Struthio camelus: one gene and its partners. The protein of the gene in region 4 interacts with the protein of the main gene of each other region in a biochemical or structural test. Links are inferred from orthologs where the notes say so. Each region holds a gene or a part of one and is shown on either strand. Other genes may lie near its edges.

Region 1 (7,856 bases), on a different chromosome or scaffold from region 4:
CGCCCTCCGCTGGACTCGCTCCAGTCTCTCCATGTCTCCCTTGTACAGGGGAGCCCAGAAGTGGACCCAGTAGTCCAGGTGAGGCCTCAGCAGGGCTGAGGAGAGGGGCAGGATCCCCTCCCTCCACCTGCTGGCAACGCTCTGCCTGATGCACCCCAGGAGACCATTGGCCTTCTGGGCCACGAGGGCACCTTGCTGGCTCGTGGTCACCTTGTCGTCCGCCAGGACTCCCAGGTCCTTCTCGGCAGAGCTGCTCTCCAGCAGGTCAACCCCCAGCCTGTCCTGGTGCGTGGGGTTATTCCTGCCCAGGTGCAGGACCCTGCACTTGCCTTTGTCGAACTTCATGAGGTTCCTCTCCGCCCACCTCTCCAGCCTGTCCAGGTCCCTCTCAATGGCAGCACAGCCCTCTGGGGTATCAGCCACTCCTCCTAGTTTTGTACGGTCAGCAAACTTGCTGCGCAGAGAGTGCGCTCTGTCCCTTCGGTCAGGTCACTGAGGAATACATTGAAGAAGACTGGACCCAGTACTGATCCCTGGGGGGACATCACTAGCTACAGGCCTCCAACTAGACTTTGCGCCACTGACCACAACCCTCTGAGCTCTGTCATCCAGCCAGTTCTCAATCCACCTCACCGTCCACTCATCCAGCCCAGCCTTCCTGAGCCTCCCTATGAGGATGAGGGTTTTCAAACAAATCAAATGCAATGTATCTACACTGCCGGAGCATAACACTCAAAGCTCATGAATTTGTCTTCATCAGCATGAAACCAGCACAGTTTGGGTTCCCTTCCCAGTCAGTTAATAGTCTTCAAGGTCTCAAGGAGTGATTGTACCTCTCTAATCTCATCAGTGAAACATGAGCCAGAGAATTTCACTGTGTCATTCCTGCTTACATGTCAAAAGCTTACATGTCAGACTCTACCTGGTAGAAGAGGAAGTTATCCCATCTTGACTTACAGACTTCAAATGAGAAAGAATTTACCATATCCCAAAACAGCTTATTCCAGTGGTTAACTCTCTTCCCTGCTAAAAATGCACCTTTTACTTTTTAAACTTTGGGATTAATCTTTTAAAAATGTCTTCATAACTGTGAAGTTTTGAGATCTTTTTTAATTTTTAATGAGCCTGGAATTCTTATATAATAACAAGCTGTTGGGAAATGAGGCTTTGAACAAAACATTTAATAATGCAAGACCGGTGATAAAATGAATAGAGCTAGAAAGACTGATCCTGCCGAATTACCTAGTCCTCCCAATAGGAATAGGCAATGACTGAGCTTTATTGTTTTTACTAGCAGATAACTGAAGATTATCTCTTACAATTTTCTGGAAAAGAGTGCAGTCTGATCAAAGAGACTCCTATCTGGCAAAATGAAACAGATTTAAAATCTGTTTATCCTTTACAATATTGTGCTAAGCTTCTCTTGGTCCCTAATGGGCAGCAGACGACTATACCATGCACCTCTAATTGGAGAAGCTCATTGCATCTACTGGATCTGTTTGTAGTGAGCCGCTTGCAGGAGACAAAACCTTGGCATGGGAAGTTGCCTGTCTCCTAGGGCGGCTGGAAGGGGAGCAGAATTCCACGTCTGCCTGGGTCCACCCACGCAAACAGGAAGGGGGCCGTGCCAGATGATAAGTCCAAGTTACCATCCAGGGGAACGAGATGCCAGAGAGGATTGTTTTCATTTCCATGGGATTTCTAATTAAGGGACATGCTTTAACTATGTTTTCAATGGCTGAACATCCAAATGACAGTTTGATATGAGCAATTTGTCTGGCAGGCTAGATAAATTCATACCAAAGCTAAAGGATTTTCCGTTTAAAATGGGTGCACATCCTTAACTGTGAATCGGATCAAACATTCTTGTAACTAAAGAATCCTCTTTATGTAACAACTTTTTTTTAAGCTTCATTCTTTGCAGTTTTAATGATCAAAGTCTCTTTTTCTCCTGATTTGTCCCCAGTCATTGACTCTGCAAAGTGCTTGTTTTTTTTCTGAACCCTCATTCTTGTTCCAGTTTGATGAATGAAGGGAAATGTGTATTCCCATTTCTGCTGTCCCACCCAGCCTTAATGAGCACTAGCATTGTCTAACTGACTCCTGGGGGAATTTGCTACCTGCATAGCTGTTGGGCTGGGCTCTTGCAGCTGGATTTCTTTTGATGCATTATTTTCTAGAGATGTTATCCACTGTCTTGTGAACAGGTAAAGTGAGGAAAAGGGGCTGGTGTATTTCTGTCTGGGGAAATTAGGCAAAATCTGATTAGGCTATTAGCTGTCATGTAATTATGGAATATTGGAAATCACAGAATGACAGAATGGTTTAGGTTGGAAGGGACCTCTGGAGATCATCTAGTCCAACCTCCCTGTTCAAGCAGGGTCCTCTAGAGCATATTTCCCAGGATCACATCCAGGCGACTTTTGCATATCTCCAAGGAAGGAGACTCTACAACCTCTCTGGGCAACCTGCTCCAGGGCTCTGTCACCCTCTCAGGAAAGAAGTTTTTCCTCAGGTTTAGATGGAACTTCCTGTGTTTCAGTTTCTGCCCGTTGCCTCTTGTCCTGTTGCTGGGCACCTGTGAGAAGAGTCTGGCCCCATCCTCCTGCCACCCTCCCTTCAGGTACTTCTACCCGTTGATGAGTTCCCCCCTGAGCCTTCTCTTGCCCAGGTGGAAGAGGCCCAGCTCTCGCAGCCTTTCCTCCTAGGAGAGATGCTCCAGTCCCCTAATCATCTTTGTCGCCCTCCACTCATGAAAAATGCTGCTTTGCTTGAAGGATATACTGCCTTTTATTGCATTCACAGAAATAAATCGAAGACATGGTGTACATGGCCAGCAGAGATGATGTGAGCAAAAATTAGGTGGGTTTATACGAATCGTAGTATGAAGCTCTCTTGATAACTTTGCCAGCTTCAGCTAGAAGGACTTTGACTGACATTTGTTGTAGTTTAACTCTGAGAACTGTGAGCTTTGAGGGCTATGTGGCTGCATAGTCTCCCTTCCCCGCATCGTCATATGACACCACCCAAAATATGTCTGAGTGGAGAATACAGTTATTTTTGGTACTGTCCCAGAAACTTATCAGGTGTAGTGCAATTAATGAATCAAGTGCCTTAAAAACATCTGTCCAGAAGCAGCAGATACTCTTTTGGTGACTGAGTACAAGAATTTCATTCAGAAGACTGACATGCAAAAAGCTTTTTTTACATCGTTTCTTCATGGTGTATATGTGCTGCTGCTTCCAAGGACATGGTATTTTTGCTGTACCAATGAAAATCTGCCTGCACCTGGGCAAATCACAAGACTGAAAATTCTCAGTTTATATGTGATCAGTGGAGATTTAGCTGAAATCCTCAAGGGGTTAGCCTGCCCCAAATGTTACTGCTGCACAGGCTGTTGCCACAGCCTCCCGCCATGGTGCCTGAAGGGGTCTGAGAGCAGGACTGTAGAGATGGCTGCTCTAGGAAGGAACTGGAAGCTGGCTTTAGAGCTTATTCCTTCTATGCCCTTGTTTCTTGCCACATCAAAAGTCAGAAAATGTAGAGGAGGAATCTATGACTTGTTCAGAGAAGACCAGAGATAGCAGAAAGGATGGGGGAAGGAGAAGATGGGAGCAAGCAGTCTTCCAAGATTATGTGTGAGGCAGTGGGGTGAGCAGGAGAGGTGGAGACTAAAAAGCCACAGGAAACTGAGTCTGGGTAGGGGTAACAAGATGGACCCTGTTGGCTGAGAAAGGACGCAAAGAGGTGGAGACAAGAAACTGGATGAGGGTAATAAAAGCAGGAATGCATTGGACTGAAAGCGTTGTCCATGGCAGAGAAGGGAAGTAGAGAAGGTTGAATGTAGAGGGGGAAGCAGGGCTAGAGAACCAATGTTTATGGGAGAGATATATAAATAGAGTGGGGACTAGCTGGCCAGGCAAAATGCAGACAAAGTTTTATGAAGAGAAGTGAGACTGGGTGTGAAATTGAGACCTCAAAGAGATGACCCTGGGAGGAGACCAGTGCTGGCACGAAATCTAGAGGTGGATCTCAAGCAAGATGAATTTGAAAAGGATATGTTGAACCAGTCAGGCTTTGGGACAACAGCAGCCATTTGTCTCCAAGCTGGAATGAAACCTGGAGCCAGGGGCACACCATCCCATCACTGTCAGCAAATATATCTGAATTCCTCTGACCTCTGAAAGTGAAATATGTCTTTTCCAAGCCTGTACTGCTGTTCTGCAGAGAGGATGGCAAGCAGCTGTGGGAGTCAGTGCTCTGTTTGCTCAAAGGGATGAGGTATGCAGGTGACAGAATACTTCTCTGCTCATTAACTGTATGTTATCAATGTGCTGGATATTTTGTTTTTTCAGTGTGCTTATTCAGAAATCTAGAAAGTGCAACATGAAGCCAGCTATGCTGGAAGAACTTCACAACATGTGAAAGAGTAAGGAGAATAAAATAATGAATAGATGCTCAGGAATCAAGTATCATCTGTAGTGGAGAATGCCTAAAGCTGATGGAGAAAAAAAGTGGGCTGAGAGTAGAGAGAAGGCTTGTGCATCATTGCCTGTAGTCCACGGACTCAAGGCATAGGCAGTCTTGATCTGCATGTTTTCTAAGTCTGGAATGATTGACTTTGCAACTGTAGTAACATTCTCTGAACGTAGTCTTGGTCAATAATATAGAGCAGCAGGTTAAGGAGGCAGGGAAGGTTTATGCTGTTCAGCAGGGAAGAACGTGAGCAGATAAGTAATTGGAGATAAAAAAAGTGGAGAGCCCATCTGATCCATCATGGCTGAAATAGCTGTGTTTATTAGTAAAACCGAAAGAGAAGGACTATCTCTGTGTTCTTATTTTCTATAATAGGAATGTTTGAGAGTCCCAGAAGAGATCCTTCTCCAGGAAGATGGTGTTTGCATTGAGAAGCCTACAGCCTATAGAGAAGGCGGGCACAGAGCAGGAAAGGAGCAAGAGCACTGAGAGGTAAAGCAGGTGGCAATGGTTAGCAGCAAAGCTCATCACTGAACTTCTGAATCTCAGTGCAGTGATGTGTCTGTTAAATTGTACTGCTGTTTGGGCTTGTAATGAAGCCAAAAGGAGGTCTGAATAAATGTTCAAGACTAAAAGCACTATGGGATTTCTGCCCTAGAAACCAGAATCCAAAATGGGTTGATTTTATTAAAAGAAAAGTAAAGAAAAAAGCAAATGGATCAGAGCCTATTCTGAGTGGTGCTGCTGCCACCAAAATACACACTGAACGCTCTGTAAGGAAAGGTGAAATCTCATTAAAATGAGCAAGACTACAGGCCTGAGCCCTGTTGGGAGATGCAGGCATACTGAAAGCTGTTTATATTGGCTAAGAAATACACAGGTTAATAGCAGTTTTAGCATTTACACAGGACCCTGCAATGTCCTCAATGCTTTACACAACAAATAAAAAAGTTGTTAATTACTTGTCCTGAAGATTTATATAATGCAGTATTAGTAAAGTTGGGACAGCACGAACAGAAGCGTTGATTGCTGAACGTATGCAGGCTGTTATACCCGGGAACACACCAGCTTTGTGTTGTTCCTACCCAGACCAGCCCCTTGCTCCTAGGGCATTGATTTTACCCAATGTTTGTGCAGTCAAATTCCATACTAGATTTAACAGGAATTTATATGAGTCTTTTTGTATACAAATCTTGAGTCTTCTTCCCTCCAATCAAAAAAATCTGAAAGTGCCAATTACCTTACCAGATTTGTTCCTAGGATTTCGATGGTCATTTTAAAAATGAAAGTTTTCAAATTAATTTAAGTGCTGCTTATTTGGCTTTCAGTACAGCAATGTTTGTCTAGTAGCAATAAAGCAATCAGAAGTGAATCTGGTTAGTTATGTCACAACTGAAAAAGAGTATGACAGCATATGTTTTAGTTGAGTTTATTTAGAACATCCTGCTGCTAAAATCAGCCTACAGAATGGTCAAATTTCATAAAAGTAACATTTGGACTATTTGTGCTCAATTAGACGTTTATTTAAAATTTCCTCTTGGTTTACTGATGTAAATGTATTGTTCATTTTTCACATACCAAGCACTGTTGTTTAGTCTCAAGGGAATTATTGTTACAAATTTAACAACTGTGACATATTAAAAAGCACATTTAAGGAAGAAATTAAGGGTTGAGAGGATGTGACCAAATGTTTCCATGGTGTTTTGCCAAAACGTCACTTAAATGCCAATGCGATTTTAGTAAGAGTTGCTCTTTCAGAACTCATCTTGCCCACGAAAAAATAAAATAAATCTCGTCTGCATAAGAGGCAGGCGTACTTTCATTGCACTTGCCGGAAAATCATTTCCTAAGTTTTATTTTCATTTTGGGAACTACTTTTAACTACTGGCTGATTATCATGTTAGTTCTCTGTATTAGGCAGCTGATTAGCGAGGAGGAAGTCGATAGCTTAGTGTGGGGAAGTAAAAATGTTCAAATTGGATGCCTCGTGTAGGCACCTGCATCCCTAATTAACAACTAGCCGATAATGTCAGGAACTGATTTTCAGGAAGTTCTTTGTTCTTTGAAAGTCAGGCCCCAAACTGAGCAATGAAAAATAGAAACCTGGGACATCGGTGATTACTTCTGAGAAACTCAAGCCTAATGTCAGAGCAAGTTGTGAATGGTATATGTGCAAGTCTGGGAAACTGCATCTGTGATTGTTTTTCTATAATTTTGATTGCCTTTCTAAAGTTATCAAAATGGGATTGTTCTAAGAAGCAGTTTCTCATGTGTGTTCTGTAAACAGAGAGCTTTCTGGGAAAGTGGCTGTAGAAGGCATTCCTGGGAGATACATCCCTAGACCTGAGCACTATCATCTGAGCATCTTCTTCCAGCTGCCTACTATGGGCATCACGACTGCTTCAGTGCTCAGCTCAGCAGCATAAGGAGCATTGTAGGCGCTCTTCTATTTAGAATGATTTGATCCCTGATGACGTAACTCAGGCTGGGACTGAAGACCCCAAGCTGAGCTAAATGTGCTCCTGGACCCATGAGCACAGGTGGGGGGAGGCCCCAAGTCAGGCTGGTCAGGGCCATTAAGGCCCATTAGTGCCCTCAGGGCCCCGACACGGAGAAGCCAGAGAAGCCGTGGTGATGCTGATGTTAGGTGCTCTAGTGGGCAATTTGAAAAGCAGAGCTATGGTTCCTCTGGGTTGCAAACCTCACGCAGGATCATTCACTTTGAGATGATCAAGGCAGTTTATGGTGGCCAGACGGAAGTGCAGAACAGTAACACCCCTTTTCCTCAGAGGATGGGGCAATTGTTCAGACATAGAGAAATGTAAAATGCATGCTCTTTAGGAAGAAAATGAGTTATATGAGTAATTATCCCTGGTGGCTGTATTCCATGATGATGGGCTGACTGGCAATCGATAGCAGAGTAGATCTGTATAGCAGAGTTAAATATCTGTTCCTCTTAGCAACTTTGCAGAATTGCACTTTCTTTATGCTTGTGCCTCAGCACAGGTGAGTAACTTGATGCAGCCAAATCTCACACTTTCTGAGCAATGCTGAGTTATGCGAACATGCCCTGTGTAAACAGCAGCCCCTGGGAGAGAAGGGGCTCTGGGAGAAACAGACCTCGGTGTTGTTTGCTTCTCCCACAGACAAGCCTGGGTGCACTCACTTCTACAGCCGTGCATGGTAGATTTTGTTTATTTAGCTCTCCTGTGAGGCCGTGATAATTTATGTCCAGGAAAATATCATTTCTTTCCTCTTTGTCTTGAAACCATTAATTATTTTCAGTTGTATTTAAAAAAAAAAAGTGTAGGAAAAAACACATATGACAATTAACAATTGCCAGAGCCTCTAGGCTTTCCCGAGCCTTCTCCTGTGAAGAG
Region 2 (7,071 bases), on a different chromosome or scaffold from region 4:
TTTAGGACATCTCCTACCTTCAGTACTGAAGCTCCTCACGATATTGGATGCAGGGATGGAAGACTTGTCTGCAGCATATCTGTTGTATAAATCAATCATGAACTGTGGTGGTTCTTCTTTGGTCTTCTCTTGTGAAGGGACCCTTGATAAATTCAAACTCCTTAGTAAATCTGTCTTCATATTCTCCAGGAAAGATTTAAAGTCGAAATGGGTCTCATCTTCCACTTCCCCAGGATCATGAAAGTGTGCATCAGACTTTTCCATAGCTGGTAACTTGTCCCAATCTTTCAAAGGCTTGCCTCTTGTCAAACAGGCAATGATGTTGAAAACAGACAGTGCAGCCAGTACCCCAAAATAGTGCATTTCTTCTGTATTTACTTTCTGATGAAGAGACAAGAGGACAATGAAATTGTAGGTGATTAAAACTCTTGTTTCATTACAGACAGAGGGAGGTAGATAGAAGGCAAAAAACTGGTGCACCCTTTGCAAATCACTTTCTTGAATTCTTTTTGCAGTCTGCTTCAAACCCCAGCCTCTTGTCAGTTGTCAAGCAGATTGGTTGTACACTTGCCCTTATCTGAGTCATTGATGCCATGCTTCAGCTTCTGTTATCTAGCAAAGCTCTTAGTTAATGAAGATTCTATAAACATCTGACAAACACATATGGCTGGTGGGAAAGACATTGTATATTGTAAAGAATTCACATTTCACTTTGGGGTCATCATTGCTTAATTACACTCCTTTACCATTTCCTTGCCAACCCAGGGAGAAGCTTTCTTAGGGACGTGGAGGATTACACTGTTTTCATCAAGACTAGAAAATCGAGGTTCAGAACAAAATTAGTCTATCAGCTGTTAGTGAATAACACCTCACAAATCTCTGTTACAGTCCCTTCACCTACCATTGCAAAATCCCCAACCATTTGATGGAGACCTGTGATTCAGCAAGACGTGATCTCACAACAATACAAACAACCTTAAAATTTCTCTCCGTTTATCAGCAAAGAGCTATTATTTGTACACAGTGAAATATCTGTTTTGTGTCAAGTTTGCTTCATGTTGTTTGCAGGCTTGTCCATTTGCAGTTTGATTCCTTTGGTGGATGGGAAGTACAGCCAAATCCACATTGTGTATGTGCTAGGAGATTAGAATGGTATTATGAGCTCTTACGTTACAAAAATACCTCGTTGCAAAGATACAGAAAAGATTTTGTCCTGTCTCAGCACTCGTCCATTCTTCTCCAGTTTTCCAGGAGTGCATACAGAGTGCTTAAAGTGAGCCCATGCTACTGAAATACTCCTGTGTCTGTTCAGGTGACAACTGGGATCCCAGATTCTGGTTAACTATGTTTCTATGGTGTAAGGTTAGAAGGGCTATTTGGCATTGATCCTAATCTCCTGAATAGCAAGATTGTTATATTTCTCTCAAGGACTTTGTATTTCCTACCTCTACCAAAGTAATTTCCTACCAATTACTTTTGTTTGGCTAAAGCATAACTTTTGTAAAGGTCTCTAGGATTTATGTGCAGGTGTTGCAAAAATGGAAGATTTCTTCACATTTCTTGGCACTTATTCTAGAAGATTTTCACTGTCACTTAGAAAAAATGGTGCTTCACTTACTATTTCACTGTGCCTGGCTTCACCTTCTAGGCACTAGTTCTTGTAACTTTTCTGCCAGCTTAAGGAGCTCCATAGTGCTGGCATTTTCTCCCTATCAGAGTACTTGTACCCGATAATCAAGTTGCTTCTCCGTTTGCTTTCCGATAAGATAAAGAGATTGTATTTTTTAAGTCATGTGCTATAAGACATTTTCTCTGTTTTTCTTGCTGTTTTTGTGTCTCTTCTAGAGTTTCAGTATTTTTTTGAAAAGGTGAGCTCTAGGGCTATACATAGTTTTCTAGTGACACTCCACCAGTGCCACGTGTAGAAATGAAATCTCCATTCCTTCTGTGGTTTACTACTCTACTGTTTATCTTTTCAATGCCTTCATTAACTCTCTTTATATAGCATCACCCTGGAGTCTCATATTGTGCTGTAAGTCCAAAATACCCACCCAAATTGTTTAAAGAATTATGGCTTTCAAGGGCATAGTCTCCTGTTCGGTAGGAACAGCCTCCATTCCGTGTGCCTAGGTACCACGCTCTGCATTTGTCTACCTTAAAATGAATTTTGATTAACTAGAATGCAGCCTGATCAAGTGCTCTATACAAATACCTCTCTCCTAAACAGTGTCTTCTGCAAATACTATTTGGGTTATTATATATTGACTTCCAGTTCATATATGAAGCTGTCAAATAGTCTCAGGCCAACTGTCATCTTTGCAGAAACTCTTCAGTGAGCAGCTTTATTCGGTGACAGTTCCCTTTTGAAAGCTGCTCTTTGACATTTGGCAGTGAGACAGTTCTTAATTCATGTGATACACAAATATATGAATATTGTCCAGTGATCTGGATTTTAATTATGCTCCCTTGTACAGCTGGGTCAAAATATTCCACAAAAACCTGAGTACATTCTAGCTATTGCAGTTACCTCTAGCAATTAAACTGGGACCTCTAAGAATTAAAGAGATTTTGTGTTAGAAAAACAGTTTTCCATAATACTTTGCTGGTTAGTATCAGCTGTTTTCCTGTTTTTTCCGTCTTTAATCATCCCATATTAATATACCCTCAATTCTTTTAGGATTATTTAGTGGAATTTTTCTGACTTGTTAATTAAGTGTTTGTCCATAGTAACTTTACCTAGTAACTTGCACATTGAGTGGAACGGTTTATAGGATGCTCCTAGGAATCAGAAGAGCTGTTAGAAGAATATCACTGTCTTGCAACTGCATTTGTGCCATTTTAAAAACAATTAAATGAATTAAATGCGAAGGTTCCTTCTGTAAAGGCACAGATTAGACATCTAAATATCAAAGCCCCAGGAAGTAATAGCCACTTCTAAACAAATAGTGGTTAAGGCCTTGCCCACATCAAAGGATTGACCAGTACAGCTAAACCAGAAAACCTACCTAGTAACAAACATGAGAGTTTATTTTGCTTCTCTAAATTACATTGTTTCTCCAGATAAAATAAACGTTGCAAATAAGAGAATTGTCTTGCTTGTGTAATAGGGGAAGCTGGAATAGCTATGCCACTTATGGGTATAATTTTACTTTCCCCATGCTAAATGACATAGTTATGCCAACAATACTTTTAAATGCGGACTACACCTTTAGGGGTTTTATAGGTTCCCTATTGTGTGTAGGAGCAGCGTTTTCCCTTACATCCTATAGGCCTTATAACAGATCAGGGGATGGTATCTCTCTTTCCTAACCGCTTGCCTCAGCACATCTTGGAAAGCAACGATATACTCAAGGAGTAGTTCGGAATTTAAAAAAAGATTCCCTAAAGAAAACAAAATGCAATAGACCGGACTATTACACTAGGCTAATTCTATTCAGAGCTGATGTTAAATGGAAGGAAAACTATCCTGCAGAAAAGGTAAATATTCACAGGGACAGAAATGACAATGGTTTAAAATTAAGAAAGTTTTATACTTATGGGTGTACCCTAGGAATAAATGATGAATTTCTGAGAACTTTTTAACTTATGCATTAGTATTAACTCTTTCAGCCTTAGTTTACTCTGTAACTATGAAAAGAACTCAAGACCTTGCAAGGGAGATCTTTAATAGCAGCAGTACACAAAGCTCTGTCCCAGTAGTTCCTTTGCAAATCACTAGTGATTTGGGAGAAGAAGAAATGCCTACCTGGATCTATGCCCTTTCTTTCCTTTCTCTAACTGGCAGTTACTACAAGGTGCCTCAGAGCTATCTACTTATTGAGAGGTGTTTAGGAGGAAGTATGAAGAACTGTGGACAGAGTGGCTGTGCAGACAGATAAGTCCGTACACACTGAATCTTGATTTTAAGTGATTTAGCAAGAAGTGCCACATTTACACACCTCTGCTGGCTGGGAATCTTTACCACATAAAAATGGAATATCGGTGGCAGAAGTTACCTAGGGCCTTAGCAGGACAGGAGCCTTCACAATGAAGTCATTCACATCAGAAGGTAGTGTGTATAGTATCGTTCTCCTAAGCAACACAAATTTAATCGGGCAAGATAGTGCAAAAGGTTAGACTGCCCCTTGAGGGGTAAACTCTCCGCATCTTGCACTTTGTCCTGCCTCACAGACTTCAGTAGTTTGTTCTGCTCCTAGTTGTCTTATGCTATTGTACAACAGGTTAATGAAAACGGAAGAGAGCATGGTCAGTTTGTCCTGGCATGCGATAACACCGAGAAAGATAAATAACAGTCACAGTAACGGAACGCGAGCTCTTAGGAGAGCGCTGTAGTTAAGAGCGCTATCAAGGTTGTATCAAGAGAGGATTATACATGAGATGGAGGGAAGCAGATTTATTTCCATTTCTATAAATGGAACCACTGCCGAATATTGTGCCCCGTTATGATGTTCATTATTGGGAAAAAAAGAGTTAAAGTTTTGGAACGAGTTCAGAAAAGAGCCATGAGGAATTATTTTGAGGCTTGGAATAGTAAGAAATCAAAGTACCTATTAATTCTTTGCCAAGATGTAATCTGAGCCTGCTGTATATATTAAAAATACGCAGAGAAAGTATTTTGAATATTAGACAAAAGGGACCTAATAGCAATAGGTTAGAGTAAGATCAAGTGAATTGAAGCTAAAGCTCAACAAATTCAGGCTAGGAGTAAGCCGCTACATTTTAACAAAGATGACTAACTATTAGAATGACTACTTGTAGTCCAGTAGAGATATTCTGTCACTTGAAATCTTTAAAGGCAAATGTATGCCTTTTTTTCAAAGATATTCCCAAGCTCAAAACAGAGGTTTCAGCCATGATGCAGAAACTACTGGGCAAGGCTCTTTGATCTGTGCTGTGTGGGAGGTCAGTCTAGATGAGCAAAATATTCCCTTCTGGCTTTAATCTATTGATGTTCATTATGACAAGCTTAACATGCATTTACATGTTTCCATCTAATTAACAGAATGTAACCAAGTGGATTATAGAAAGACATTTCAACTATATTTAGATACTACTGTACCTTTAATTTATTAGCTTTTGTTAAAAGCATGTAACAATCTAGAGGATATAAAGTATAATTTACAAAAATATAAATCTTAGTTATTTTGTTTTTAGTATTTCAACATATTACTATATAGTATGTGTTACTCAGAGAATATATGTTTAACAACCTGAAATCATCCAGCAAACCAAGAGTGTGGGATATTACATGTGTCTTTTGTAGAACAAATTATATATTAGGGAAGGGTAACCGAAAATGGTTATATTAACATACTGTATATGTAAAAGCTTATACAGTACACTACACTTGAATCTTGAAGAAAATATACATATTAAGCCCTTTATTACAGCATTTTCAGTATAAATATACAGATTAAGAGTATGAGTGTTTTAGGCAAAAAGTTTTGATTTGTGTACACAAATGGTATTCTAGAATAAGCCTGCCTTTGCAAGTTCACTTCCCATCTTCTTGGTTAACTGAGGAGATAAAATAGAAAAATAGCATATAAAAACATATTTTAGTCCTTTGATTATGGAAAACTTTACGTTTAAATTTCTGCACTATATACCATGTTTCTCAGCTAGATGGGTTAAGAAGAAATTGTAGAGTATTGATTTCCTGGAAGGTGAATCACTGTTAATTTTGTAAGACAAATGACGATATTAAGACATATCCTTCCAGGTGAGCAGGTGTGCTGCTTTAGTCTCTCTGCATGCTGTCTGTAGAAGTTGTAGGCTTGCATCTGCTCATTAACAACAGTGGATTTATTTCCCATTCACAACTTTCTCAGTGTAGTCGGGCAGGATATTTAGGTCTTGTTAAAGATGTGTTTGCATGAACTTATCGGCAGGCACAGGTGTCAACTGACATGTTGGGATATACCTTTAAAACCACGTTTTTGTTCTCATCTAAGAAGAGGACACTGAGTGAGTTCATTTTGTCAGGAACGCAGCAGGGCTCTGGAATGCCGGGAATGATGCCCACTGCTTTTACGATGCTCTGGATTGTAGCATGGTTTGATGGCCGGACAATCTGCAACATAGAAGGAAGTAGTTATTGCTTCATCTATGAGAAGTCACTTTCCCAAATAGGCTTGGAAAATGACAACATTATGATTTTTTGTTTCTCAAAAAAGTGAATATACTTGTATGAGCCACAGGGCTGCGCAACACAGTCAGTCCCTCCCATTTCCAGCTTGCCTGCCCAGGAGGCATCTATCAGATATTTTGTACTCTTTGTGCTGCCTTCGTAAATACCAGAGGAGGGCACTGGTGGCATAGCCAGCATTCAGTAGCCTAGAAAAACCGAGGAGAGTGTCCATGACTGCACTTATTAAACTCTGGAGGCAGGCATGCAGGAGAAAATGGCTAAGGTGGGGCGTGCTTCTCCATCGTACAGTGTTATCTCTTGTCTTCTCACCCTCTGACTGGGAAAATTGTTCATTGTAATTCTTTCCAAAATAACTATTCATGTAGTCCAGGAGTAATTCTTCTCATGTTCACTAACCTAGAATTAGTTACTTTTTCCTGGAATAACCACTGTATATTAAAAGAGTAATTCTAATGTAGCAGGGCTTCTGGAACAGTGTCCACAGGGGGGAGTTACCCTAAAATTATCAAGCAACCTCACAGACCCGTTCTCATCATACCTCCATGACAAATGTGTAGTTTGTCTGCTTCCCTCTGCCTTTCTTGCTGGGCTTTTTTTTTTTTTTTTTTAAGTTCTAACAAGCCTCACAGTGGGAGAAGAAAACAAAAAGCTGGGAGGGCAGGAGGCATATAAAGTGAGAGCTCACAACAGCTTAACAGCTGTTACTGTTCAGAATACTGAGCCACCTTCTTCTGCCATTGATTTTTGTATGCAGTAGAACAACACAAGGAAAAATATTTGAGAAGAGGACAGAATGGAGATTTTTAGGTATAAGAACATTGAGAATAAGAAAAGGAGTGTTAAGATTATATAAATAGTATATGCTATTTAATAGTTAAATGGTAGTCCTATATTTTTAGCATTTATTCAAAAGCTACACT
Region 3 (6,848 bases), on a different chromosome or scaffold from region 4:
GCGCACCGACTAAGTCAGTCACTGGAGCGGGGGCGAGAGGAAGAAAACAAAAACACGCCGCTATCCCAGAGAGCCTCCTTTTGAAGGTAATCTCCTTTGCGTGCGTTTAGTCAGTCACCGAAGCGGCAAGCGGGCGCATCAGGCAGCCGAAGGCACTCAGCGCCTCACCAAAGCGCGAGCCGGCGGTGGCGTTACAGGGCCAACATGGCGCCGCTGCCGCCTCCGAGGGCCCGGCGAGGACGGGATGGCCGTGCCCGGGGACCCCAGAGCACTCTGGTGGGCACGCACCTCGCGCGGCCTCTGCAGAGCCATCTGGCACCTTGCTGAAGGCTCGGCCAGGTTACCTGAGGTCTTGGGGTGCACCTGAAATCCGGCAGCCAGGCTTTTACCAGCCTGTTCGCCCGCCCGCCTCCTTCGTGGTGTGGCTCAGGTCTAGGCTGAGGTGCTCCTCAACCCAACGGGGGGGGCAAGAAAGCCGCTGAGGAAACGCCACAATCGACTGTTTCACTGATCTCTCACGGGGATTAGATAAGGATTAGAAACCTCCCAAACGACCCCAGCTCAGCTGTGAATTAGGGAGCTTTTTCCTGGTGTTTGGCCTTGTGAAAGAAAAGCTATCTGTGGGAAGGCTTAATTTGGAGCAGGTCTGTTTTCGCAGAATAAATAAATAAAATAAGGGCCCCTCATCGGCTGCGGGGGGGGGGGGGTGGGGGGTGGGGGAAGGGGGAGGAGGAAGGCGCTTTGCTGAATAAGCGCGTCAGGAACAGAAACTTCAGAGTCCTCTAAGCGGGGCTTTTAAAGCAAAACCGAGTACCCCCGTTCCTGTAAACTCGACAAAACGCATTTCATTAGCGGCCGAGCGCAGGCATGCCCTCCTGGGCAGGAGTCTGCCCCCGACGCTCCTCCTCCTCCTCCTCCTCCTCCTGCCCGGCCCCTTTTCCTCCCCCGTCCCGCGGCCGCTCGCCGCCCGGCACGGCCGCACGCGCGGGCCGCGCACGTTAACGGCCGCCATCGCCGCGCGCGCCCAACCGCCCCCCGCCGCCAACCGCCAACGGCCCCCGCCCGCGCCCAACCGCCGCCGCGGCCCCCCCCCCTGCCCACCTACCTTCGTGGTGGAAGCTGCGGACGGTGTTGGCGCGGCTGGCGGCCCTCTCGAGCGGGTAGCCGAGGGCGGGCGGCTGCCCCAGCTGCTGGCCCGCGTGCAGGCGGTAGAGGTCCAGCATGTAGGGGGGGATGACGACGTCCTTGCCGGGGCTGGGCCGCCGCTTGAGCCCGAACATGTGGAGCAGGCGCAGCTCGAACTCGCTGAGCAGGTCCTCGGGGCGCTGCGCCGCCGAGGCGGCCCGGCCCGGCTCGCTGAAGCGCCGCCGGCCCACCTCCGGCATGAGGCCGGCCGCGCCGCCCAGCAGCACCTGGCAGAGCAGCAGCGCCAGGAGGCAGCGGGTGGCGGCAACCATGATCAACCTGCGCGGAGGAGGAGGAGGAGGCGATGGGAGCCGGTGGCGCCGCGCGGGCACGGCCCGCAGGTGGCTCCCACCGCGGATCCCCCCGCTTTGCGGCCGCGGCGCGGACCCCGACCCCCCCTCCCCCCCGCCGCCGCCGCCGCCGGCCCCGTCAGGCGGCGCGGGGCAGGCAGGTTTCAGGTGCTCGGAGGGAGCGCGCGGCGGAGAAAGGCACGAAAATCCCCATGGCAGGAGATCAAAGGGAGCGAGGCGGGACGGGACGGGACGGGACGGGGCGGGGGGAGCGGGGCGATCCGCCACCAAAGCGGGCCGAGCTGAGGGCAGGAGGAGGCGGCCGCTGTCAGCGCGGCCGCCGCGGCACAGGTGTGCGCCCGGCTCGGCTCGGCCCGGCCCGGCCCGTCCGTCCCGTCCCGTCCGCTGCCGCCGCGCTCTGCCCGCGCCGCTCCCGGCCCGGCCCGGCCCGCCGCCCCTGCCCGCGCCGCTTCCCCGGCTCCGCGGCGGGGCAGAGGCTTCCCCGCGCGCAGAGAGAGGCAGAGGTGTTTTCTCTCGGCGGAGTGGAAGAAGGAGGGGGGGGGGGGAAGAGGGAAATCCTGCTACGTCCTTAGCCAAACCCACAGGATATTCTTCTCCCCCGTGAAACTCTGCGCTGGATTATTATTACTGTTATGACTAGTGTCCCGTCCCCCCTCTCTCTTCCAGAGCGCTAGCACCTCCGCCGTGGCCCACGGAGTCATCCTGCGGAGAAGGCTTGCAGCGGATCTGCGACCGCCGGGGTTATACCTGTGTGCAGCAGCGGGGGTTGTGTCTGCAGGAGGGTGTTCTGCTCTCGGGGTGTTTTTCCCGCATCACTTGGTGTTACTCCAAACTTCGCTGCTGCTCCTCTACAGCTGCCGAGCAGAAAATAGAAGTTCCCTGAAGTACGGTCCGCCTCAGAAACATACTTTTAGCAGCTGGCTTGGGAGGCAGAAGGCAAGTCCCAGCCAGGGAAGGGCTTCTCCCTTTTAAAAGCAGCGATCAGAAAGTTGTTGCTTCTTCTTCTTCCTCCTCCTCCTCCTCGCGTGTGTGTGCGTGTGCCTGCCCGTGAATGGGTGCCTATGTGTCTATGGAGTTAAAAGGCTCCTTTTAAAAAATGTCCTTTGCATCATCAGCATCAGACAGATGGACATTTACTGAGACTCCCGCAGCAACATTTAAGATGAAGCTTGACTTTTCTCCGCTGCCTTAAAAAGAAAGAAGAAAGGAGGAGGAAGGGGGGGAGGGAAAAGGAAAGGGAGGAAGGGAAGAAAAAAAAAAAAAAGGGTGGGGAGTAGTTTGTTCGCGGCTCGCGTGGAGCGGCGGCGGCGGCAGCGCTACGGGGACCGCTCTGTGTGCACACTCCGCGCGCCGTGCAGGCGTGCCCGGCTCCCGCCCCTGCACCGCACCATTGACGGAGGTGGCCGGGCGCCGCCGCCGGGGCTTTTTGTTGCGCGCCGATGTCACGACCCCGGAGGCTCGCGGGCCCGCGCCAATCACAGCCGCCCTGTGGGAGCGGGCTGCGGCCCCGCACGGCTTTTAAAGGAGACGCCGCCTCCCGCCCGCCCTCCCTCCCTCCTGCCCGCCCTCCTCTCCCCCCCCCAGCCCGCCCGGGGCTCGGCTCGGCTCGGCGCGGGGCGCCCGGCCCGGCCCGGCCCGTTAGGCTGCGGCGCGGGCTGGTCTCGCCTCGCCTGGCCGGCAGCGGCTCCGCGCCCTGCGACGCCGGTGCCGCCGCCCCGGGCCGCGCAGCCGAGCGCGCTCCCGGCAGGTGCCGCCGGGGCCCCGCGCCCACGGGCGGCCGCGCCGCCGCCGGCCCGACGTTTCCGCGCGGCGCGGCCGCCCGCGGAGCGCCGGAGCGCGGGGTCCGCGCCGCCCCGCCCCGCGCCGCCCCGCGCCGCGCGGAGGTGCGGCGGCTCCCGCGGCCTCGCCCTCCCTCGGGGCTGCCGGGGCCGTGCGCGGCCGCCGCCGCCGGCGCCGGGTGTTTGAGATGCGGCTGGTGCCCTCCAGTGGCGGAAACGCGCCGGAGCTGCGCCGGGCCGCGGCCGTCCCCGCCGGCCGCCGCCTCCCGCCCCCTCGGGCACCTGCGGCCGGGCCGGACCGCGGCACCCGGCCCCGGCCGCGGCGGGAGGGGCGCAGCCGCCGCCCGGCGGGGTCCGGCCCCGCGCGCAGCCGGCGGCGCCCGCGGCCGGCGCGGACAAGTCACTTCGCCGCCGGGCGCCGGAGCAAAGCGCGGGCGGCGGCGCGTCCCGCGGGGCTCCGCGGCGGGGCCGGGCCCTTCGCCTCCCCGCCCGGGCAGCGAGCGAGCGAGCGAGCGAGCGAGGGTCCTGGGAGCTGCGGCCGCCAGCGCACCGACCCCAGCCGGGGGACCCGGCGGCAGCGCCGCGCCTCCTGCTCGGATACCTCTCGGGGGCTTCATTTGCAAAAGACACAGACAGCCTTTGACACGTTGAATTACTGTGCGGAGGAGGATTTAAAGCAATAACAACTGAGCTCCATTACCAGCTCCTCCTTTGGGAGCGGCCTTTTCCCTCCATCTTAGGGCTTTTCAGCAGAGGAAAACTACCAGTCTGAGGCAACAATTCAGCACAGTTAGAGTGCAGCAATTCCTCATGTGCACCCTCTTATTTTGGCTTTCCTATCTCCTTAGATTGACTTAAGCTATACTGGCAAAACGTCACTCCTGGAAGGAAATGTTAACAAGGAGAGTTACATACCAGTGTAGCAAAACCACTTTAGAACTACACCAATATAATTAAAGAGCTGGTAAAGCTTCTTTCTCCATGCAGACAAGTCCCAGGACTTGTTAACCTCCGATTTTCGCTCGCTGCCGTGCCCAGGGCCACAGGCAGGAGATGTGACACAGACCAAAATGAAATCCTTCAAAAGTTTAGTAACTTTTCTGTTGCATTCCATTTCAGATAATGTTTAATTTTATGACTTCCTGCAACTCTTTAGCATGAACTTAAAGTGCATGCAGTGTGACTTCAGGGTATGCCAATTATGTAAATCAGCACTAAAATAACAATGGCAATGTAGTTTACACATCACTGACATTAAATGAGCACTTCAACTTCTAATTGCCATTCCAGTTCAATCTGTAGTGGGTCATGCCAGGAAAAAGTCATTTCTTGCCTCAACACTTACTCCCTGTGCCTGGAGCATAGGTTGTACTGTATGCCCAGCTTCGCTTTATCTCCAGGAGGTTTCTATATTAGGATGATGGACCTTATAAGGGAGAAGTATCTTTATGGTTGTTCCAAAGGCCTGGATATATTCTGATCTGATATCAAGAGGGTCTTGTAGGTTTGCCTCCTCTCCGCCTGTCAGTTCACACAGTCTTCCGTTCTCTTGGTCATAAAAAACTAATGCTTCACACAGGAAAACATGTTTCCTCTCCTAGTTTTTCATCTCTCTAGTCTATTCAGATTGAGAGCACCCGGGGTAGCGGCTCTGTCTTACCATTTGTTTGCACAAGGTCCCAAGTGAAGACAGGAAGGGCTCATAGCGTGTCCCCGCATGCACTGGCATCCCCTACCAGAACCTCAAAAACACGCATCCCAGCACCTTCCCCGCTCTGCTTGGCGCACATGCAGATTTCTCACCAGAATGCATACAATTTCTTTTCAACCAAAGCCTCCATCCACAAGCGCCCTAGTGAATAAGCTTCTGAAAGTGTCGTTCCCCTTTTCCCTCAAAAGACGTTTGTGTTAGAAGTGAACCCTTGAGCGAGCAGGGTGGCGCTGCAGAAGGCTTTTATGCAGAGATAGCCACAGCAGATCTGTCACGTGAAACAGGTCAGGCATGCAAGACTTTGTATATCTTGTCACTTTGCGTCCATAGGTCACATGCTGATCGGAGGTGAACCCGCAGGCAGGAAGCTATCGCGCTGCAAAGGCAGGAGGGTAGTCCCAAGAGTCCTTCAGCGTGATGCCCTGCTTCCAGTGTTCACAATAGCTTCTGTACACCCCTAAACTGAAGAGCTCATTCATAAAACTGGCTGTTTGCAGGTGCCTCCTTTTACAAGGAAAGTCTTTGGGTCAGTCGTCCTGGCCGTGAGCTCTGTGTAACTGCACTGCGTCTGCCATTAAGGCCCAGTTACGGTTTGTGTCTCATCAACATGACAATTGACTCATTATCCACCTGGAGAACCATCCCACTATCTCTGAACACTGCATTCAGACCTGCTACCGTAACTTCCGTAGCGTCAGCACTCCTGAGGTCATAATATGAGAAGCAGCAATGCTACAAACAGCCTTAGAGACGGGTGCATTTAGGTTTAAGAAATGAAACATTTGGTTTGTGAAGTGGAAACATGCCAGGAAGTGCCCACCCAGATTTCTAGTTCCCAGACTGAGCTTTCACGGCAGACATAACACCCTTCTGCCTTTCCCACCCTTATAGCTGTACGGCAATGAACCTGAGACAATGCTCCTGGAGACAAATGAGCTGTATTTCGTGATGCTGTAATTCCACATAGGCTCAGTGAAATCAAGGGAGTAAAGTGATACATCAGCTGAAGATCCACCCCCATCAGAGTGGAGTCCCACCGCGCCATTTAGTTTTACAGTTTTTCAGATCAAGCCTGAACTTCAATTACATTCCTGATAGAGAAACCACCAGTTATACTGAAAAGATCTGGTACAGACATTAGGTTTTAGGAAACCTGACCATGCATATTCGTTAATCTCCTTTGTGAAACTTCATTCATATCCCTACTTCTGAACCTTGTATCATTGATTGGACTGATTAATTTCTTTCTTCTTTCTTTCCCGCACTTGCTTTTTTATTCTTTTTTTTTTTTTTATAGCCATTGAGTATTCAGTTAGAGGCACCTGCTTCTAAGGTTTCACACCCAGGTGTTCCTTTGCAGGAGTCCAAATACAGCTGATGGATCTCAACTTTAGGTATTGCTGGGTTTTCTTAATACATGGTAGAAAAGTTTCCAAATGAGGATAAGTTTTACAACACAGTGAGAGCCCTTTTTTCACGACTAGAGGGAGAAAGAAGAAAACAATTTTCTACAGCATATTCCTCTTACAAATACTCTATCAAATCACTCTTATATGCTGCCACTATGTAGTCTCTTTTCTCCAGCTGGTTAAATTGTGACTGTCTTTATCGATGGCTACGGGCAGAAGACTTCAGCTGAAAGATCTACATGAGAAATGTTCACCAGTGTCTCTAACTAGTGACGAATGACATAATTTCTGGTATAGTTAGAGGTACAAGCCTCCAGAAACATTATCGTCACTTCATGCACATTGATAGTAAACAGTTTTACCATTGACTTCAACAGACTAGTGAGACCTATACTGAGCGTTTTTGAAAATTCCCACTTTAGACCTCTGTCCCCCGATATGTATTAAGGATTTG
Region 4 (7,337 bases):
GTGCCACAAAACTTCTAGTCTGGCACAGGATGATGTCAAAGACTGCAGTAACTCTGCTGCAGTATGGTCCGCTCTGCAGCGGGTTACACAGCAGCAGGGCAGAGCTGGAAAAATCCAGGCCTGAAGACACTTAGGAGTTTGTACTCACAAATGTTTTCTTTTTTTGAAGGCTGGATAGTTGCTGCTCTTTTCTGTGTTTCAGAGACAAAGGGGGAAGAAAAAAAAAAAAAAAAGACATAATAGTCTTCAGACGGGCTTTTTTGAGTCCAAAGGCCAAAAGTAACGTCTGGCACAGATTATCTGACTGGACTAAAGGGGAAACGAGTTCCCTCCGAGGCAGGAATTCAGTCTGCCGTTTCCTTAAAGCTGTGGGTCGGCTGGCGAGAGCGAGAGCCTGCTCTGCCACGTGCTGCCGCCACCGGAGGCTTGATGGGTTTATCTCCCATCTTGGCAGGACAGACAGGGCTGTCGCTGGTGGTGCTTTTCCTTCCTGTGAAGAAAACCGGAAAGTTTCCCTCACAAAGGATTTTTCCAAGGTTTTGGGCGGTCGTTTCCCCCGTGGGCTGCGATGCCCCCATCCCGGCTATTTGCCGCCTTGGTGTCCCTCTTTGGAGGAGTCGGTTTCCTCAAGGCGAAGCCGAGCCCCGGAAAGGGGATGGAAACCAACCCCCTCCGTTCAGACCAGGTGACGGTGGCGCTGGAAAATCTGTCCGCCCTAGAGAAAGGCACTTCTGGATCCAGATCACTCCTGAAGTCCCCGGGGTGTTCACTATTTCTCCTTTAATGACGGTCTTCCCATAGCCACCCTCGTTTTTGTGACCTTTCACTCCCGGGGGAATAATGGGGGCGTCTCGGTGCGACACCCCGGATTTGAAGCCGATGGGAAAAATCTGTGTGAAATAGGTAGCCCGATACCTACAATGGCAACAGCGTCTGTGTGTGATTACTTGTTTAGCTGCAATGGCTGAAGCTTTTCGCTGCTAACTCAGCAGACTGCAAGGAGCAGACAGTATTGTCTTTTTGGCTTGTTCTGGCTGCAGTTCAGGATGTTAATAATAATCTGGAGAGCTATGTAAGCCTGGGATGGCAGCTATCGGCAAGCCCCTCTCTCTCGATGCGCTGCTGCAGGAGGTGAGATCAGGGAAGATGATCTTGCTGACAGGTTCCTAATTTAGCAATGAGTGGCAGGCGTTTGCAGCGGAGACCCACACCAAATCCATTATTTATGAAGATACTGCCTGGGGTCCAGGATGGGAGTATTTATTTGTAGGAAAGTCTGTGAACATCTTGATTGTTATTGTTTTAAGGTTTGTTTATGCATCACCGTCAACGCTATGGGGATGCTTTGTTTTTAAAGAAACAAAAAATCTCTTAAAAACAAAGCACCGGGCAGTGTTGTTGTCCTCTCTCCCCAGCATTTATGACAGCATTGAGAGAAACACCCTGGGCAGGCTGATGGGCAGCCAAGTAAAATTTATAACTTATTTTAAAGAGATTTGTTGACATCATGAAAGGCCTTGTCAAAAAGAGCACTCCCCCGAGTCCTAACAACGATAATGGCTGTATGGCGTCAGCACTGAAATACTCTTGGATAACAGCGAACCTATCCCGAGAAATATTTGCAATGTTCCTGAAAATTGTGTTTTCTAAAAAGGAATAGGGCAGGTTGTTTTGGTTTTCTTAATGCTTTGATTTTATTTTCCACTGATTGGAATATTCACTTGGAAGCACAAAAGTAAGATTTTCTATATGCTGGGTAATTAAAAAAAAAAAGTGTTGTTTAAAGGAGACACTGCTAACAAGGACACGTGTAATTACTGTCATGTACAATCTTGAATTTGCAAGTGATACCAATATGTTTGCATGTGCATCGGTATGACAGCAGGAAATATCTGAGGTATACATCCGCCTTATTTCCCACTTCAGCGTCTCACTCGAGCATGGAAGCAGCGTAAAGGGCAGCTCCAGTAAACTGGATGCGGCCGTGTCATTTAAAGCTCCCTCGCCCCGGGGCAAGACAGACGTGCCCTGCAGCGGAGGTGGTGCACATCAGCCTGACATCTCAGGGAGCTCGCAAACGCGGTAGCCTGGCGCCGGCGTCTCTGCCCTCCTCGTGCCCTGCCTTGAACGCGCGCCCTCGTCCTGCCTGCTTGCGAGCACCGCGGATGATAGCTGCGAAAGGGTAAGGCCTGTTCTCCTATCCCTATTTTTTTTTTTTACAGTCTTTTCAAATTAAGTTCAATCTTGTTGTTTCACGGGGCTAAGTTCTTCCTGGTGGAAATACAGTGCTTCAGCAGAGCATCTTCCTTTGAAATCTTGGTAAGTTTTAGGAGGTTTTCTTGGCCTTCTCTCTCCTATCCTTGTTTGGACCAACGCTGAATATTTAAGTTGCTGCAGCTTGGTAAGTTTTCATTATTCTAAGTATTTTTCTGTCGGTCTCATTTGGCATCGCTGCACATTAGGCTAATGAAATGCTAGCATACAGTTAAAACAATATCAAAGAAAGAATGGTAAATATGCCTTTGTCCAAGCAGATAGCAATAAGTGAGCCTGGGAATGACAGTTTAGGTCTCTGGTTTCCTCCCACCACTGTGGGAAAAGGAAGCTGCCTCTGTGCTTAGACAGCAGCAACTGCTTCCTGCGTCTGCGTGGCAAAAGGGGCGTTGGTGCATCCTGGGGCCGGAGAACCGGGGCTTCGGCAGCCCCACGGCTCCGGCGCCCACGCTGCACAGGAAGGCACCTGGCCCCGGGCAGGGGCAACGTCTTCCAAAAACTCCTCAGGGTTAGGTAGGGAAGGAGGCAAAAGCCTTGCAAGGTGCTGGGGACGTGGGTCCAGGAGATCAGACCAAGGCCCTCACCCAGGTGAGGGCTCAAGCTCAAGCGAAGCAGATCCACAGCTGCGGTGAGGTCTTTTGCAGGCCCATGCATCTTCTGGGTCAGGGCCTGTGTTTGTCTGAAGCTGTGAGGAAATTACTGTATTAAAATTGGCCTAAGCCTTGTTTCTTCTTTACAGAGAAACAAAACACAACAAAAACCCAATCCGCTCTCTGGAGAGAAAAAAAGAAAAGTAAGTATTTTAAGGCATAAAACTATTTTATGTGATTCCTTGTGAAGAAGTGCCAATATTAATTAACGGTCCAAAACTACAGCTATTAAAACCAGAGGGAATTTTGTCTTTACTTCAGGATGAGCCAGTTTCAATACATGTCATAAACAATTACTGTAATTTTCTTTTAACCATCCAAACAGTGAAAGTGCTGCGTAACCCGCCTGGTTACGTTCTTGTTTTCCACGAACAGAGTCGATCTGGCTGCTTTCACGGGCGGAAAGCGCGTTGCACAGTTAGGTGTCTGCACCAAACTAAACGCTGGATTTTCCGCCCCGCGGAAAATACTCCCGTGTCGGTGTGCTGTCCTCTCTCGGGGGCAAAACCTGTTGTTTGGCTGGTTTCTAAAGGTTATTTCTTGACAGTTCACGTTCCCCACACAAGAGGAAGGATATGGTGGTTAGCATGTGGTTACAATTCTGGCGAGTGGCAATACCAGTTACCATCTAGGATTCCCTCTGTCATCCTCCCCCATCCCCCCCCCCCCAAATATCCACGGTAAATCTGCATGGATTAGGAGTAAAAACAGGGTGACCAGCTCTTAAAAATCGCGGGTAGCTGTCAGCCGCGCGACCTTCAGCTCCGACGTTAGCAAGGTCAGGCCACGCCGCGTCCGGCCGGTGTAGCACAGGTCGTGCTAGGCTTGATTTTAATTATTCTGTTAATGATTCTGCTGCGAAGGCGAGCACCAGGCCTCAAAAAGCAGCAACGCAGCGTAACAACATGGAGGCGCGGGCGGGGCGCTGCGGGGCCTTTCTCTACCTGCCCGGAGGCCTACCTCTATGGTCGGCGCGAAAGGGGGGGGCGGGGGCGGGGCCCGGGCGGTGCGCGGCGCGGCCGTTGGGGAGGGGGCGGGGCCGGGGCGGGGCGCCCGCGGGCCGGGCGCCGAGACTGGCAGTTGGAGCGACTCCCCTTTGTGTCTGGTGCGGGAGCCGTTGGGGCCGTTGGGGCGGGAGGGGGCGCGAGCCGCGGCGGGGGCCGCGCGGCGCAGCGGAGGCGGCGGCGGCGGCGCCCTCCCCGGGGCTGGGAAGGAAGGAGGCGGCGCGGAGCTGCCCCTCGCCGGCGGTGGCAGCGCGGAGAGCCGCGGGGAGGAGGAGGAGGGAGCTCGCGCCTCGCTCGCCGCTGGAGCCGCCGAGGAGCGGCCTCGCCGCCGTCGGGGCGGCCGCGGGGGCAGGGGCGCGCGGCCGAGCCCGCAGATGGGCCGCGGTGCCGCCGCGGCCCTCGCCGTCAGCGCGGCCGCCTCCCGCCTGGCCGCGCAGCGCCTCGGCGCGTCTCTCCTTCCCCAGGCGCGGAGCGGAGGGAGGAAGGAAGAGCGAGACCTTTAACTGGGCGGGATGCCCCTCTGCCTCGAGCCGTTGGAGCTTGCTGGCGGCGTCCTGAGGCGAGCGTGAGGCGGCTGCTAGAACTGACGGTCGTTAGACGTTTCCCCGCGCCTGGATATGTTCGCTCCTACACCCGGCTGTTTCTTTGATATCGTGAAGCTGCGTGGGAAATAAGCTCGGTTCCCAGAGCGAATCGCGAGAATCGCCCCTTCCCTGGGAGAAGGGAAATGCCTTTGGGCTTGCAGGCAGAAACGGGCTTTCCCCCCGTTCCCCAGAAGAAGCGTTGCCGCTTCCCGAGACATGAAGGCAGCCTGGTGTAATGGAGTAAGAGCAGCAGCGGCCCCTCTCCTCTGCCGTTTGCCCTTCCAGACTGGATTGTAAACCGGGAGAGTTCAGCAAGGCTGTTTGAAAAAAGAGAGAGAGAGGAGAAAAAAAAAAGAGGAAATTCCTCTTGTCGTTTTTATTCTGTTATTTTTCCTCCTTCTGCCTCGGCCCTTGGCTTCCCCAGGTATGACTGCCTCACTGCAGCACCTTTTGCTGGTGCTCCTGCTCTCCAGTGCCACCCTGCTGCTCAGCACTGCGGCTGGTAAGTAGCCGGGGGGGGGGTACTGAACTAGCCATTTTGGCACGGGGAAGGGGGTGGGGTCCGCCGGCATTTGCACCCGTCTGGGTCTGCTGAAGGAGCGGCGTGCATGCATGCATGCATGTCAGCCGCCGAGCCCGAGGAAAGTTCCTCAATCCCGATACCTTAACCGTCTTTGAAAATAAAATCTGCTTTATTGTGTAAACGAGCTCGACCTGCGTTCGAGATGTGTGTTTTGTCTGGATCCGCTTCCCTTGTCTGATAACTTGCTTCAATTTTGGAAAAAAATATATAATCTTTTTGTTTTGCATACCTAGCCCTTTGTAAGGTAAAGCAGGGATTTTTAATATATATTTTAATCGGCAGCGGAGCTGTGCCTGTTTTGCTGTGGGATCTTTTGGGCACAGCCATTTTTAATTTTATCAGCATCGCTGCTTTTAGGGGCCTTAAACATGTGCTGCAGTTTTATGACAGACTTACTAGGACACATTTCTTTTCTTGGGGGAGAAGTTTGAAACAAAAACGTGGCGATTTCTATTGTCATTTGTGATTACGGAATAGTAACAAAAACGCTGTTGAAGAATACTGAAAGATCTTCAAGTCAGTGTTCTTTTTTAACAGTGACTTAGAGGCGTGTGTTCTAAGAGCATCCTTATGCTTATTTGGGGGCGTTTAGGTCCGCTTTTGATGTTGCTTGGAGGCTCAGTGTTAGATACATAGGATATTTGAACATGATATTGGAAGAGAGATCAGTATTGCACTGGCATCCTTTGGTTTTCTGTCATGGTGACTGATGAGCACGTAGGAGCTTTCTGAGTGTTACCAGCTTTGTTAGGCGCTAGGACTGATTCTTCTCAGTGTATATGTTTTCAGCAGTTCTGGAAGACTCTTAGGATTTTGGCATCTTTTAATAATCAGGAGCTAATTTTGAATGCCCACTCTTGTCAGCATTGTTTTTGCAATCTGATGTGCCTAGTTCATAGATGAATCCTTATGGGAAAATTGCTATATCTTGCTAAGGTGACCTAATAAGATGATGGTAGTTTCTGTATTACATTCTAGTGATTTGTTTTAATTGAATTATTATCAGTGTTGAAAATACTCGGTGTCATTATTTGGAAAAGCCTGTCCATTAGACATGTTTAGGTAGTTTCTTTATTGCTCTGACAGTCCCTGATTTCCTCACTTCTGCTTTTTTTAAGAAGTCTCTTTGGGGAAGATATTAAAATGAAATGATTGACTTTGCCTACATCAGCCTGACCTTTGACTGTTGATATTTTAGACTGATACCTGCTCTATCTGTCTGTGATAATTTCTTCAGAGTTTTTTTTTTTTGGGGGGGGGGGCGTTTTTTGAAAAAGGGACTTTTGAAGGTCGAAAGCCTTTGTATTAAAGTGTGGATGAGTCAAGAACGCCAAGTATCTAACCTTTTCTCTTAAATATAATTTTTAAAAAGCGTGGGCTTTTTTTCAGTTTGGAAAAACTTCAGTGAATTGGTAATTCCTTTATTCTGATGAGGGAGAAGGGCTACTGAAGGAGAGGCAGTGCCGATTTGAACCAGGCCAAGGGCTGGGCAGGTGCAGTACGAGCTCAGTTGGACGGTTTTGCCCGTTCACCTCAATCCTGACCTGTCAACAGCATTCCTATTATTTCAGTTCTGGTTTTGTTTTGTAAAAAGAGTATTAATGATGCCAGCTTGTTTAGTTGTCTTGTGAACAGAAACCGGTTTTCCCATTGTGATTTATTTCTTAATTGTGAAATTGTAACAATCTGTGTTATAAAGCCTGGGTCATAATCCTCTGTAAGAGTAATTATATGAATGATTTGAGCTTTACTTACAGTCAACCATTAGTAACTTTAAGTTTATACTACATTTCAGAAACAAATGGCTATACATGGGGAAGCTACACTAATGTGTAATTCTGCCCTTTTATGTTCATGAAAGAGCCAACACTATTTCTTCTCTTCCCCACCCCTCCCCCTGAAGTATGAACTGTATACTCACATCACGGTGAAAATGCTGGCTTTATAGCTTTGAAAACCTCGGTTAACTGCTACTTCTCATTAGTGACTAGATCCTGTGTCTCAGCACTATATAAAATTGAGTGTTGATAAACGCAAAGAGGGAAAGTACTTGCATAGATTGGTAAATTTCCGTCTCAGGAAGAACGCTGAGACATCCTTGAGGTAGCTCACCAAAGCCCTGCACTCAAAATATGGTCAGGAAAGGAAGGCTGCTGAAGTGCATGAAGAAAGAAAATCATGTAGTGGGGCTGTTGATGACTGTTTCGCTCATAATCTGGAGCATGAATGAAGATGGGATGTG

What was found.
Region 1: the proteins of BMPR2 (region 4) and BMP4 form a complex in vitro, tested with the Homo sapiens proteins (2 studies listed by BioGRID). The link is inferred for Struthio camelus from reciprocal best matches to the Homo sapiens genes BMPR2 and BMP4.
Region 2: the proteins of BMPR2 (region 4) and GDF2 form a complex in vitro, tested with the Homo sapiens proteins (2 studies listed by BioGRID). The link is inferred for Struthio camelus from reciprocal best matches to the Homo sapiens genes BMPR2 and GDF2.
Region 3: the proteins of BMPR2 (region 4) and BMP2 form a complex in vitro, tested with the Homo sapiens proteins (4 studies listed by BioGRID and IntAct, with this or other methods). The link is inferred for Struthio camelus from reciprocal best matches to the Homo sapiens genes BMPR2 and BMP2.

Annotation. Positions count from the first base shown.
Region 1 is NC_090946.1:79,892,395-79,900,250, forward strand, and holds the start of BMP4 (bone morphogenetic protein 4), read left to right. Parts: upstream 1-4,854; 5' UTR 4,855-4,891; coding exon 4,892-4,968; intron 4,969-7,856.
Region 2 is NC_090948.1:22,144,493-22,151,563, reverse strand, and holds the start of GDF2 (growth/differentiation factor 2), read right to left. Parts: upstream 3,016-7,071; 5' UTR 364-3,015; coding exon 18-363; intron 1-17. Other genes in the region: GDF10 (growth/differentiation factor 10), read right to left, coding at 5,882-6,073. UniProt on the Homo sapiens protein: Potent circulating inhibitor of angiogenesis. Signals through the type I activin receptor ACVRL1 but not other Alks. Signaling through SMAD1 in endothelial cells requires TGF-beta coreceptor endoglin/ENG.
Region 3 is NC_090944.1:130,843,581-130,850,428, forward strand, and holds the start of BMP2 (bone morphogenetic protein 2), read right to left. Parts: upstream 3,006-6,848; 5' UTR 2,244-3,005; intron 1,465-2,243; 5' UTR 1,458-1,464; coding exon 1,106-1,457; intron 1-1,105. UniProt on the Homo sapiens protein: Growth factor of the TGF-beta superfamily that plays essential roles in many developmental processes, including cardiogenesis, neurogenesis, and osteogenesis. Induces cartilage and bone formation.
Region 4 is NC_090947.1:9,922,773-9,930,109, reverse strand, and holds the start of BMPR2 (bone morphogenetic protein receptor type-2), read left to right. Parts: upstream 1-4,332; 5' UTR 4,333-4,938; coding exon 4,939-5,014; intron 5,015-7,337. UniProt on the Homo sapiens protein: On ligand binding, forms a receptor complex consisting of two type II and two type I transmembrane serine/threonine kinases.